3 linked regions of the Sus scrofa genome follow. The protein of the gene in region 3 interacts with the protein of the main gene of each other region in a biochemical or structural test. Links are inferred from orthologs where the notes say so. Each region holds a gene or a part of one and is shown on either strand. Other genes may lie near its edges.

What was found.
Region 1: the proteins of PPP1CA (region 3) and PPP1R15A are reported together in a solved structure, tested with the Homo sapiens proteins (2 studies listed by BioGRID and IntAct, with this or other methods). The link is inferred for Sus scrofa from reciprocal best matches to the Homo sapiens genes PPP1CA and PPP1R15A.
Region 2: the proteins of PPP1CA (region 3) and PPP1R10 form a complex in vitro, tested with the Homo sapiens proteins (2 studies listed by BioGRID). The link is inferred for Sus scrofa from reciprocal best matches to the Homo sapiens genes PPP1CA and PPP1R10.

Annotation. Positions count from the first base shown.
Region 1 is NC_010448.4:54,170,476-54,174,219, reverse strand, and holds the start of PPP1R15A (protein phosphatase 1 regulatory subunit 15A), read right to left. Parts: upstream 2,183-3,744; 5' UTR 1,946-2,182; intron 1,234-1,945; 5' UTR 1,225-1,233; coding exon 1-1,224. UniProt on the Homo sapiens protein: Recruits the serine/threonine-protein phosphatase PPP1CA to prevents excessive phosphorylation of the translation initiation factor eIF-2A/EIF2S1, thereby reversing the shut-off of protein synthesis initiated by stress-inducible kinases and facilitating recovery of cells from stress.
Region 2 is NC_010449.5:23,152,590-23,155,892, forward strand, and holds part of PPP1R10 (serine/threonine-protein phosphatase 1 regulatory subunit 10), read right to left. Parts: intron 2,733-3,303; coding exon 2,655-2,732; intron 2,516-2,654; coding exon 2,342-2,515; intron 2,129-2,341; coding exon 2,023-2,128; intron 1,924-2,022; coding exon 1,811-1,923; intron 774-1,810; coding exon 673-773; intron 416-672; coding exon 268-415; intron 192-267; coding exon 33-191; intron 1-32.
Region 3 is NC_010444.4:5,118,863-5,122,606, reverse strand, and holds the start of PPP1CA (serine/threonine-protein phosphatase PP1-alpha catalytic subunit), read right to left. Parts: upstream 2,406-3,744; 5' UTR 2,371-2,405; coding exon 2,316-2,370; intron 1,820-2,315; coding exon 1,688-1,819; intron 1,557-1,687; coding exon 1,326-1,556; intron 728-1,325; coding exon 623-727; intron 232-622; coding exon 8-231; intron 1-7. UniProt on the Homo sapiens protein: Protein phosphatase that associates with over 200 regulatory proteins to form highly specific holoenzymes which dephosphorylate hundreds of biological targets.

The sequences.
Region 1 (3,744 bases), on a different chromosome or scaffold from region 3:
AGGACCAGCTTCTCCTTCCTCCTCAGCTGCTCCTGCATCACTATCCCTGTCCTCCTCCTCCTCCTCTGTGTCCTCACCGGGTCGATACACCCAGGCTCTGAAGAAGGCACTTGGGTGCGGGCTGGAAGAGGGACCCTCAGCTTCTCTTTCCTCCTCAGCTTCTCCTTCCTCCTCAGCTGCTCCCTCGTCACTGTCCCCGTCTTCCTCCTCCTCCGTGTCCTCTCCGGGTCTGTACACCCAGGCCCTCAGGAAGGCATTTGTGAGTAGGTTGGAAGAAGGGCCCTCGGCTGCCCCCAGATCCCTGTCCTCATCCTTCTCTTCATCTTCCTCCTCTGAGATCTCCCTGGACTGATGCTGCCGGGTCCCGAGCAGGGGGCTCTGGGCTAGAATTGCGGAGTGGGGCTCTGGGCCAGCCTCTCGTTTCTCCACCTTTCTGTCCTCCTCCTCCTCAGGCTCCTCCCCTGAACAACACTCCCAGGCCCCGGGGTGGGAACCGAGGGATGAGGGGCAGGTGGAGGGCTTCGTGGCTGCTTTGTTCTCTGTTCTTTCTTCCTCTGTGGCTCCTTCCACTGCGCAGCACACCCAGGAGCGGGGCTGGGGTCCTGGAGCTGAGGGGGAGGTAGATGTTCTAGGAGCTTCTTTATTTACAGCTTCTCCAGCCTCCTCCTCCTCCTCCACTGCCACACCTGGACAACCCTCCCAGTGTGACAGAGGAAAAGCGAAGGTGATTATGTCTTTATCTTCAGTAACTGCTTCTTCCTGAGATTCTTCCTCCCCAGGAACGTCCTGCTGGGCTCTCATCAGAAGGCTGGGGGACAGGGGAGCAGGAAGGCCATCCATAAATTCACTTCCGGGCTCTCTAGGGACGCGGGTTGCTGCTTCCCCACCACGCTCATCATCTGAAAGTCCCCAGGTTTCCAAAAGCAAACACTTGGCTTCCAGGTCAGGGTAGCTCCCCCAGGATGCTTCTTCATCCTCCTCAGTTGCTCTCCTCTCTCCAGGCTCTTCTTGTGGCTGGGTGGCCAGAGAAGCCTTTGTGTCTCCCTCCAGGCCAGGTTCTCCCGCGTCTGCCCTGGTTACTGCCTCCACTAGCCAGGGCTCTGGAGGGCCTGGGCCCCTCAGGTGGCTCCAGGCCCGGCTGAGAAGGCCCATCAGCGGGGACAGGAGAAAGGAGTGGGTAGCCCTCCAGGGGGCAGGCTGGTGGGGCACTTGGCCTGGGGCCATCTTTGTCTGCTGGGGAAAAGGGAGAAAAAAAAGGAAACGAGTTTAGAAGCCATGGAGGGAATAGCATCAGAGAGTGACCTTGAGTCATAGCAACACAAATAGTAACACGAATAGTAACACAAACAGCAACCAGAGAGGCCCCGCCCCACATTCCTTTCTCATCCCAGCCACACCCATCTCTGTCCCTAGTTTCCCAGCCTCTCTCAACACCCAAGAGTCTGGATCATCACTCATTCCTTCCTTAGCCCAAAGGGCTCCCAGCCCCATTTCCTCTCTGACCCATTAAATTCTAGTCCCAGGAAGCAAGAACACAGGTCCTCTGCTTGCTTCCTCTGGGGACAAAGTCCTTGTCCCTTGCCTCTCTCATCCTCCTGAGGATTGAAAAATTAGGCGCCCACCATTCTCCTCCTTCCAAGACATAAAACTTCCGATCCCTAGATGGTGCCTTCTGGCTCCCAGACTCTTCCTCTGTCCGGCTCAGGACTCTAAGCTCCCAATTCCTTCTCCTGCCTAAGTCCGAGCCCTCGGGTCCGGCCTCGTCCCACCTCTCCAGAAAAAGGAGTTCAGGTTCCCAGGAGTCCTTAGGGCACAGGAGTCCGAGCTCCGAACACCCCTATCTCGGAACTCAGAAGTTCGAGCTCCCTCCTCGTTATTGACCAGGATTCTAGTCCTCCGCCCCCAAACCCCTAGGAACCTAGATGTTCCGACCCCCTCAACTCACCAGCTCGGGATTGCGCGTCACCCTGGGGGCAGGAGCGTCGGCTGGGGCTGCCACAAGCGATCGCAGTTCCGGACAGCTCGGGAGTCCAGAGCGTTCATTTCGCCCTCCGGCGTCGGGCTCGGGGACTCAAATTGTCACCGGCTGCTGCAAGCGTTGTCACGACGAATGGGCGCAAGGTCACACGGAGAAACAAATACAAACACACCGGCTAGCCACTTAGGACGTAAGGGTTGACGCGGTCCTCAGCGCTTTTATACACAAACGCAGCCGGACGTGGTGACGTCAGGAGAGGAGGCGGGGTTTCGAATCGTAATCGTGATGGACGAAACGGAAAACAAGGTTGGACTTCTCGCGGAGATTCCGGACTTTATGACGTCACGGCGGTATTTCTGAGCGTGGCCACGCCCTGAAGCAGGCGAGCTGCCAATCAAACTCATGAACTGGTTAGGTTTTGAGCGCGCGAGCTCAACCTCTGTTCCAGGCAAACGCCGTTACTCCCCGCCCCCAATTTAGCCAGCCGGCCCCAGGCTAGAGTCTTCCACCCTCCAGTCCAGTCGGCTTCCTATCCGGTGTGGGAAGGTATCATTATTTCCATTTCACAGATGGGGAAACTGAGTCTTGGGCATGAAATCACTTGCCCAAGGGTGGGCACAGCGGAGTCTATATTCATTGCAAAAGAGAAAGAGAATGTGTAAGGCCCCTGAAGGCAGGCGCTTTTCTTTGCTCACTGCCTGCGTGACACATAGTAGGTGCTCAACAAATACGCGGTGAGAAATACTGGACCAAAACCTCAGATCCCGTGCCTATCTCAGGCACAAGGCGCCACTCCTAGGCTCCACCTACTTCAAATTTATACAGAACCTCCGCTTACACAAATTGAAATTCTAGCTGGGTATCACCAACATCAAGGGAGTGGGGGGGCGGTCTTTTGCCCCAAATTCCAGGCCTAAGGACATGGTTTCAGTCCCTGGCACCCCACCACCAACCTGGTCTGCAATCCTGTACCTCAAAATACGCCCAGGACCCAGGCCTCCCTCCTGAGAGGGCATCATCCTCAGTCTAGACCGGAGTTCTCACCTGGATCTGAGGTGGAGATTGCCACTGGCCACTTGACCCTGCTCTTGCCAGAACCCAGCAATCTGGGGGCCGCCCTCTCTTCTCTGGAGGACTTGGACCCATCCACTGCAAGCCACACCTCCAGACCCCAGCTCCATTCTCAAGTCCTGACTCCTGGCTCACATTTTGTCAGGTACCCAGTAGTCTGAGCCCCTACCCCTCCCTTCCATTCCCAAGGCGCCAATCACCCAGGCTTCCGATCACAACCTGCCCCCTCAGGTCCTGGAGTCCAGGCCCAGCTCCTCTTCTCCAAACATGTAGGAATCCCAGCTTCAGCCTTGATGGGACCCGGTCCAGCAGGGACCTAAGAGCGTGTGGGTGGATGGGTGGGGTGGAGGTGGGAGGGTGGCCCCCAGCCCCCAGCCCCCAGCCCCCAGCCCCTCCCTTCAGCTGTGGGGGCAGCTGAGCCAGAGGTCAGGCTGTGGTGGGGAGGCCAAGAGGGGCGGGGTCAGCGGGGATTGGGAGCCGGGACAGCAGCGTGGGCGGCTGGCAGGGGGAAGGAAAGACCAGCAGAGGGGAAAGAGAAACTGGGAGAGCAGAGGAAGAGAGACAGTGAGAAGGAGCGTCCGGGAGAGAAGGAAACAGCAGACGTGGAGGGCCAGAGAGAGAGAGGGCGAGAGGGAGGGAACAGAAGGGAGACTTAAAGAGATTGTGAGCCCAGGAGAGGATTTGGACAGAAACAG
Region 2 (3,303 bases), on a different chromosome or scaffold from region 3:
CCACCTGCCACCCTGCCTACTTGATCTCTAACCTCGTTCAGTCTCATCCAGCTCAAAATAGAAATACTCTCTCAGTTTGCCCTCCTCAGGCCACGTCACAGTTTTCCTCTTCCTGCCTTTCCGTGTCAGCTGGCTGGGATCTCCGGGACTCTCCACTGGCTTTGCATCCAGAGCTCCTGGCTCCAAAGAGGCTGCAAGCAGGAGTGGTTTCAGACCGGATCCTTCCTTCTAGAAAACCCCCCAACCTGAGCCAGTGTCTAGACTTACCCGTATCCATGAGCTCCGGGACTTCGACAGGGGGAACTGGGGTCCCGGGACGGTCTGTGTCCATAGCCTCCGAAGGAGGTGCTGGCTCTGGGGAAGAAGGTTTGGCTGTGCTTGGTTCTGTGCTTGTTTTCCCTTCAAATGGGCTTGGCTATTGTGAAAGAAAAAGAAGTGAATGAGCGGACAGGAAAGCCAAGGAAGGTCAAGGCCAGGCAGTTAGTCCACGGTCCCAGGCAGGATTCCCACCAAGCAGGTCCCCTGAAGGACAGCTCTGTCTCTTGTCTGCCCCCACCAGCCTACACCTGAGACACAGCTGCTCTGTCCTCCCCACGTGCCCAGCTGCCGCGCCCTCCCTTCCCCTGGACCTCTTCTACCCGGGCACTGGCACCTACTGCCTAGCGCCCATACCTTGGCCGCTGTGGGTGACAGCACCTTCTTCTTCTTCTTAATTTTGATGCCTGGAACAGGGGCTGAATTGAGCGCATCTAGAAAGCCCAGGCCCTCCATAGCTGCAAAACAAAAAGGCATAAGATGGAATCAGCAGACCTTCTCCATTATCCTAATTCCCACAAAGTCTGAACAGAAAACCGGCCAACAGAGACCCTGCCCTGTGCTTATTTGGACACAACAGGCTCCAGGTGACCAGAAAGCATATGTAGGTTTCACACCACAAATTCTCGCCATTACGCTTTTTTTTTTTTTTTTTTTTTAAATTTGTGGTCACACCCTTAGCATACGGAAGTTCCAGGGACTGAATCCAAGCTGCAGCTGCAACCTGAGAAGCAGCTATGGCAATGCCGGATCCTTTAATCCACTGCACTGGGCTGAGGATCGACCCAAGCCACTGCAGTTGGATTCTTAACCCACTGGGCCACAGGAGTAACTCCTATCTTTTTTATTTTTTTCTTTTTTGGCTGCCCCACAGTATACGGAGTTCCCAGTCCAGGGATCAGATCCACGCCGTAGTTGTGACCTAAGATGCAGCTGTAGCCACACCGGCTCCTTAACCCACTGTGCCGGGCTGAGGATCAAACCTATGTCCCAGTACTCCCAAAATGCTGCCGATCCTGCTGCACCACAGCGGGAACTCCCTATCTTTTATTTAAGGCAGGCAAGTTGTGGCCTTGGATATGAATCAGAGCTCAGGTAACTGACAAGGCCAGTCGCCAGGAACATGACAGATTACCTTGCCAGCTGGGAGTGCCCCAACCAGCCCTGCCTGCCTACCTTATCTCTAAAATTACTCCTAATCCAGTGTGTTCACAACAGTGGCTTGGGGCACCCAAGCAGTGACCCAAGCCACTACTGCGGCACAGGTTCGATCCCTGGCTGGGGGAACTTCCGAATGCTGTAGGTGGGGCCAAAAAATAAATAACTCCTAAATAAAATAACTCCTAAGTAACCCTATGAAGCGCTGCTATAAAGGGAATTCCAGAGTTGCAAACATTAAAGGACACCAAAAACTCAAGTGAAAACTGGAGGAAAGTGTCTCCTTTCCACAGAGCTTGCTCCCATTTCCCAGCACAGCCCCCCGTTTTTGACTCACGCTGTGGTGGGATGATCTTCACTTTGATCTCTTTGGTGGCATTGGGGGTCGTGTTGAGTGGCTTGTACTTCTTCTCTGCAGGGGGGGCAGCATCACCCAGGGCAGCTATGGAGCTGTGAGAAAAAGAACCGTCAACTGCAGCTGACTCACCCCTTCTCTCCTCCCGACATGCACAGACCCGGCCATTCGAAAACCCACAACACGGTCCGCACCTCTGACGCTTGAGCGGGATGGGTTTAAGGTTGTACTTGTCAGAAACCACCACTGCACTGGCATTCTTCTTCACGGGCACCAAAGACGGGGTCTCCAGCTCCAGGCCTGGGGGAGGAAAGATGTGCTGCTGGGGCTGGACTCACTCCACCCACTCCTGACTCTTCCTCCCTTCACCTTCGTCTCGCCTTATAAACCCCATGACGATTCACCCACTGTCCTCCCTCGTCTACAGACTGGGTCACTGTACCATTAAGTCCAACTCCTCCACTGCAAGCCTCGGTCGTGCACGTCCCCGCAGAGGCCTGCCAGCAGCCTTACCGGTGGAACGGAACTTGGCGTGACTGGGCGCCGTGGTGCGGAGAGACTTAGGCTTCTCCCTCTTCTTCTCCGGGGCCTCCTCGGCCCGGGTCTCTGCCTTCACCTCAGTCAACGGTCGCTCAGGAGGGGTGGTTCGACTCTTTCCCTCTTCTTTGCGTTTCTTCTTATCTTTCTCTGTTGTGGAAAGACAGAGAAGAAAAGGATTTCACTTAGAGAGGAGAGAGACAGTCAGTCGGAGGTAAAGCAGGCTAGAGGCACGAAGGCCATGTCCCAGGGGCAAGAAATACCAGGGATAAAGGACCCAGGAGCTTACCAGCAGGCTGGGTGCTGCTCTGGGAGCGGATGACAGCCATCCAGTCACTGACAAGGACCGAGGCCAATTTCCGGAGCTCTGTGGGTGAGAGAAAAGGCCAATGCCAAAATAATGTAAGATATTATTCTTCCAGTAACTGAAAACAGACATGTTTGAAATATACATAAAAATCTGTGTAATGGGAAAAGGAACCCAGAGTTTGTTTTTTGCTTTTTAGGGCTGCATCCACAGTACATGGGGGTTCCCAGGCGTAGGGGTCGAATCAGAGCTGCAGCGGTCAGTCTACACCACAGCCACAGGAACACGTGATCCAAGCCGAGTCTGCGACCTACACCACAGCTCACAGCAAGCTGGATCCTTAACCCACTGAGCAAGGCCAGGGATCCAACTCACATTCTCGTGGATGCTAATTAGGTTCGTTACCACTGAGCCATGACAGGAACTTGCATTCTTTGCTGTTGAGGAAGAGTTCTTCTTTATGTAAAAACCTTGTCAGGAGTTCCTCTCGTGGCTCACTGGAAACAAATCTGACTCGTATCCATGAGGATGCAGGTTCGGTCCCTGCCCTTGCTCAGTGGGTTAACGATCTGGCGTTGCCGTGAGCTGTGGTGTAGGTTGCAGACGCGGCTCGGATCCCGCGTTGCTGTGG
Region 3 (3,744 bases):
AGCCCACCTGGTGTGCCCGGCAGATGAGATCCAAGTCGTGCTTGTGCAGGAACTTGGCCACCACCTCCGCTCCAAAGGTAAAGGAGACGCCGCGGTCATTCTCGCCCCAGCCCTGCACGTCCTTGTCGGGGTCAGACCACAGCAGGTCACACAGTAAGCCCTGGTCAGGCACGTCTGTGGGCCGCATGATACGCCGAATCTGCTCCATGGACTGCAGGTCGGGGGACAGGCCTGGGGAGCACAGGAGGTAGATCACTTCCTTGAGCCTCAAAACGAGGCCCCTGCCTCCTCCGGGAAGCCTTGCCGATCAGCCTCTGTCCCCACCCCTCCGTGGTCTCCTGGGAGCCATGACAGGCAGACCTCGCCACCTTCTGCCTCTCGTAGCCCCTGTTTCTTCAAGGAGCACAGGGCTCCTTGGAGAAAGGAGACAAACTCCACGTGTGAAGCTGTGGCCACGACCTGACAGCACAGCCTGACATGAGGGTGCGGGGGGACTTCATGGAAGAAACGACTCGGGGGAGAACTGTTGCAGCTGATGCCTTTGTCCCCAAGCCCCCCGGGATGGGGCCAGGCTCGTCCCTCCCAAGCACTCCTCCAGCGCGGGCCCCAGAGCTGCTCTCACCTCCGTGGCAGCAAAAGATCTTCTCGTCCACAATGGCAGCGATAGGCAGGCAGTTGAAGCAGTCAGTGAAGGTTTTCCACAGCTTGATGTTGTAGCGTCTCTTGCCTGCCCAGAGGAAGGAGGTGGCTCGTGAGAAGGCCTGGCTGCCCCACCTTCAGCCGGGGTCCCTGGGCCTTGCAGGGCACATCATGTGCTGTTCAGACACAGCTGGGAGGGAAGCAGAGAGGGCAAGGAAGGGAAACCCATCCCACTGCCTACCAGCTTTCCAGGAACCCCAGCATTCCAGTTCTGGAACAACCTCAGGGTTGGCACCCACCTGCAGCACATGAGCAGGGCCAGGCCAAGACCAGGTCTGTTTATCTCTGCTTCTGGCAAACAGAGTCCAGTCCAGACAGGCAGCCTAAGTGCTTAAGTAACGGATGCGCTGGAGGGGAGTGTCACTGGGCAAGGCCCTTATTAGAATACGGGCAGCCCTGCAGCCAGCACCCATTCACCAGATCCCTCCTGAGTGCCAGGACCCATGCCAGGAGGGCAGGTGGAGAGACCTGAACTGGCCTGGCCCGGCCCTGCCTTCACGGAGCTCAGTCTAGCAGGTATTTGTCAGACACTGATACCCCAGCTGCCAGGCCAACTCGAGGGTCCCTCTGAATGGCCAGGAGAGCCCTTTAGGACCCGGGCAGCCCCAGACACCCATGGCACTTACACTCATCGTAGAAGCCATAGATGCGGTTGATGCTGGCACACTCGTGGTTCCCACGGAGCAGGAAGAAGTTCTCCGGGTACTTGATCTTATAGGCCAGCAGCAGGCAGATGGTCTCCAAAGACTGCTTGCCCCGGTCCACGTAGTCCCCCAGGAACAGGTAGTTGCTCTCTGGAGGGAAGCCGCCGTACTCGAACAGCCGCAGAAGGTCATAGTACTGGCCGTGGATGTCACCTGGGACCCAGGGAACCAGGTCAGGTCTAGGTTCAGTCTAAACCTGAACCCAGGGATAAGGCTGGGATCCAGGGACTTTAGAGGGGCCAAAACCACTTCCAGGAAGCAAAGGGGCTGGGCAGGGGGCTCACCGCAGATCTTGAGGGGTGCCTCCAGCTCCAGAAGGATGGGCTGGCTCAGGAAAATCTCCCGGGATTTGAGGCACAGACCACGGATCTCGTTCTCTGTCAGCTGTACATTCTTTCCAGGCCGCGAGCCCTGCACTGAGGGTGGAAGGAGCGTCAGGACCCTGGTCCCTGAGACTAGGAGAGGGTGGGTGACACACAGGCCCTCATGAGCACTTCTGGGGCGCCTGGGCCCCTCCTTGCCCAGAGGCAGCTGTTGCTGCTGAGCCTCCTGGGACCGGACCCCAACTACCCTCAAGGCACTTGGGAGGGGACTGCTGTGCGCAGGGGCCCTACCACCCAAAGCCTGATAGCGCAGGACCCCTTCCCGGGTGGCTAGGCTTCTCGGGTTTCTCCCTCACCCCAAGAGCCCAGGCCGACCCATGCGCCCCGGCCCTGTTCCAGCGCGGGGAACAACCCCAGACCTCCAGGCGCGCCGCGATTTGGCGGGGAGAGCCACGGCCACGGGACCTCGCGGCCCGTCCCCGCCCAGTCTAAGCTGGCCCTGGGAGGGGCAGGTCCACCCGCGCGCCACTTCCGGGCCGGGAAGGGGGCCAGGGCGCGGCGGGCGCCCACCTCCCCCGCCCCGGCCAACCTTCCAGCAGGCGCCCGATGATAGAGTCCAGGTTGAGCTTCTCGCTGTCGGACATGGCGGCGCCGCCGCTCTGGCCCAGCAGCTCCGGGCCCGCTCCTGCCTCCCACCCTCCCGCTGCCTCCTTCCGGCCTGGCTCTCCTTCCGCCCGGCCCGGCCCGGCCCGCCCCGGCCCGCCGCCCCGCCTCCTCGGCCGCCCGCTCCGCCCCTCGTCGCCCCGCCCCGCCCCGCCCCGTCCGCTGCCCCAGCGCTCTAGCGCCTCCGCCGGACGCCGGGCGCAGAGGCCCAAGCGGCCCGGGGGGCGGGGCCTCAGTCACGGGGCGGGACTCGGACGGAACGCCCATCTCTGGGGCGGAGCCTCTTGGTGGGCGGGGCTTCGAGGGGCGAGGTCGAGTCTAGTTCTGCCTATGAGAAGTTGGCCACCCCTTTCCAGAGAATATGGGACAGGAAGTGCTGTGGAAGTTGTTTTTCTCTTTTAAGGGCTACGCAGTCCTTCTCACCTCCGCCCTGGGCGGGAAGTTGGTGTGAGCTCATCGGTAACTCATTGGGTCTCCCCAAATACTGCCGATCAAGTCCTTGAAGTGCACAGAGATAGCAAAGGGTTGGTCCAAGACCTGGACCTAATTCAAGGGCCTCTACCTCCGGAGTCTCTGTGGCCCCCAGGTGACTGACCAGACCTAGAAACCTGTCACTAAACTCCAAGCCCATTTTGGTCCACAGTGCCTGTGATGCAAGCTGAATTAGCGGTTAATTTTTTTTTTCTTTCTCAGCTGCACGTGGAAGTTCCTGGGCCAGGGACTGAATCCAGGCTGGAGCTGCGACCTATGCCACAGATGCAGCAATGCTGAACCAGCGCCTCTACAGAGACAAGCCATACCACTAATCCGCTGCACCACAGAAAGAACTCCTATCTATGTATTTATTTATTTATTGTCTTTTTGTCCTTTTTAGGACCACACCCACGGCATATGGAGGTTCCCAGGCCAGGAGTCCAATCAGAGCTACAGCTGCCAGCCTACACCACAGCCATAGCAACACCAGATCCTTAACCCACTGAGCGAGGCCAGGGATCAAACCTGAAACTCCATGGTTCCTAGTCCGATTCGTTTCCACTGTACCACGATGGGGAACTCCCTGTTTTTTTTTTTTTTTTTTTATGTTTTATCATTGCCTTTTGAGTAGCATAATTAAGCTACATTGTGCGCATGTGAAAAATGTTATTTCGTGAAGAGCAAACATTCAATAAACCGTAATTCTCAGAGTTCCCATTGTGGCGCAGCGGAAATGAATCCAACTAGGAATCATGAGGTTGCGGGTTTGATCCCTGGCTTTGCTCAGTGGGTTAAGGATCCGGCGCTGCCGTGAGCGGTGGTGTTGGTCACAGACACAGCTCAGATCTGGCGTTGCTGTGGCTATGGCGTAGGCTGGGGGC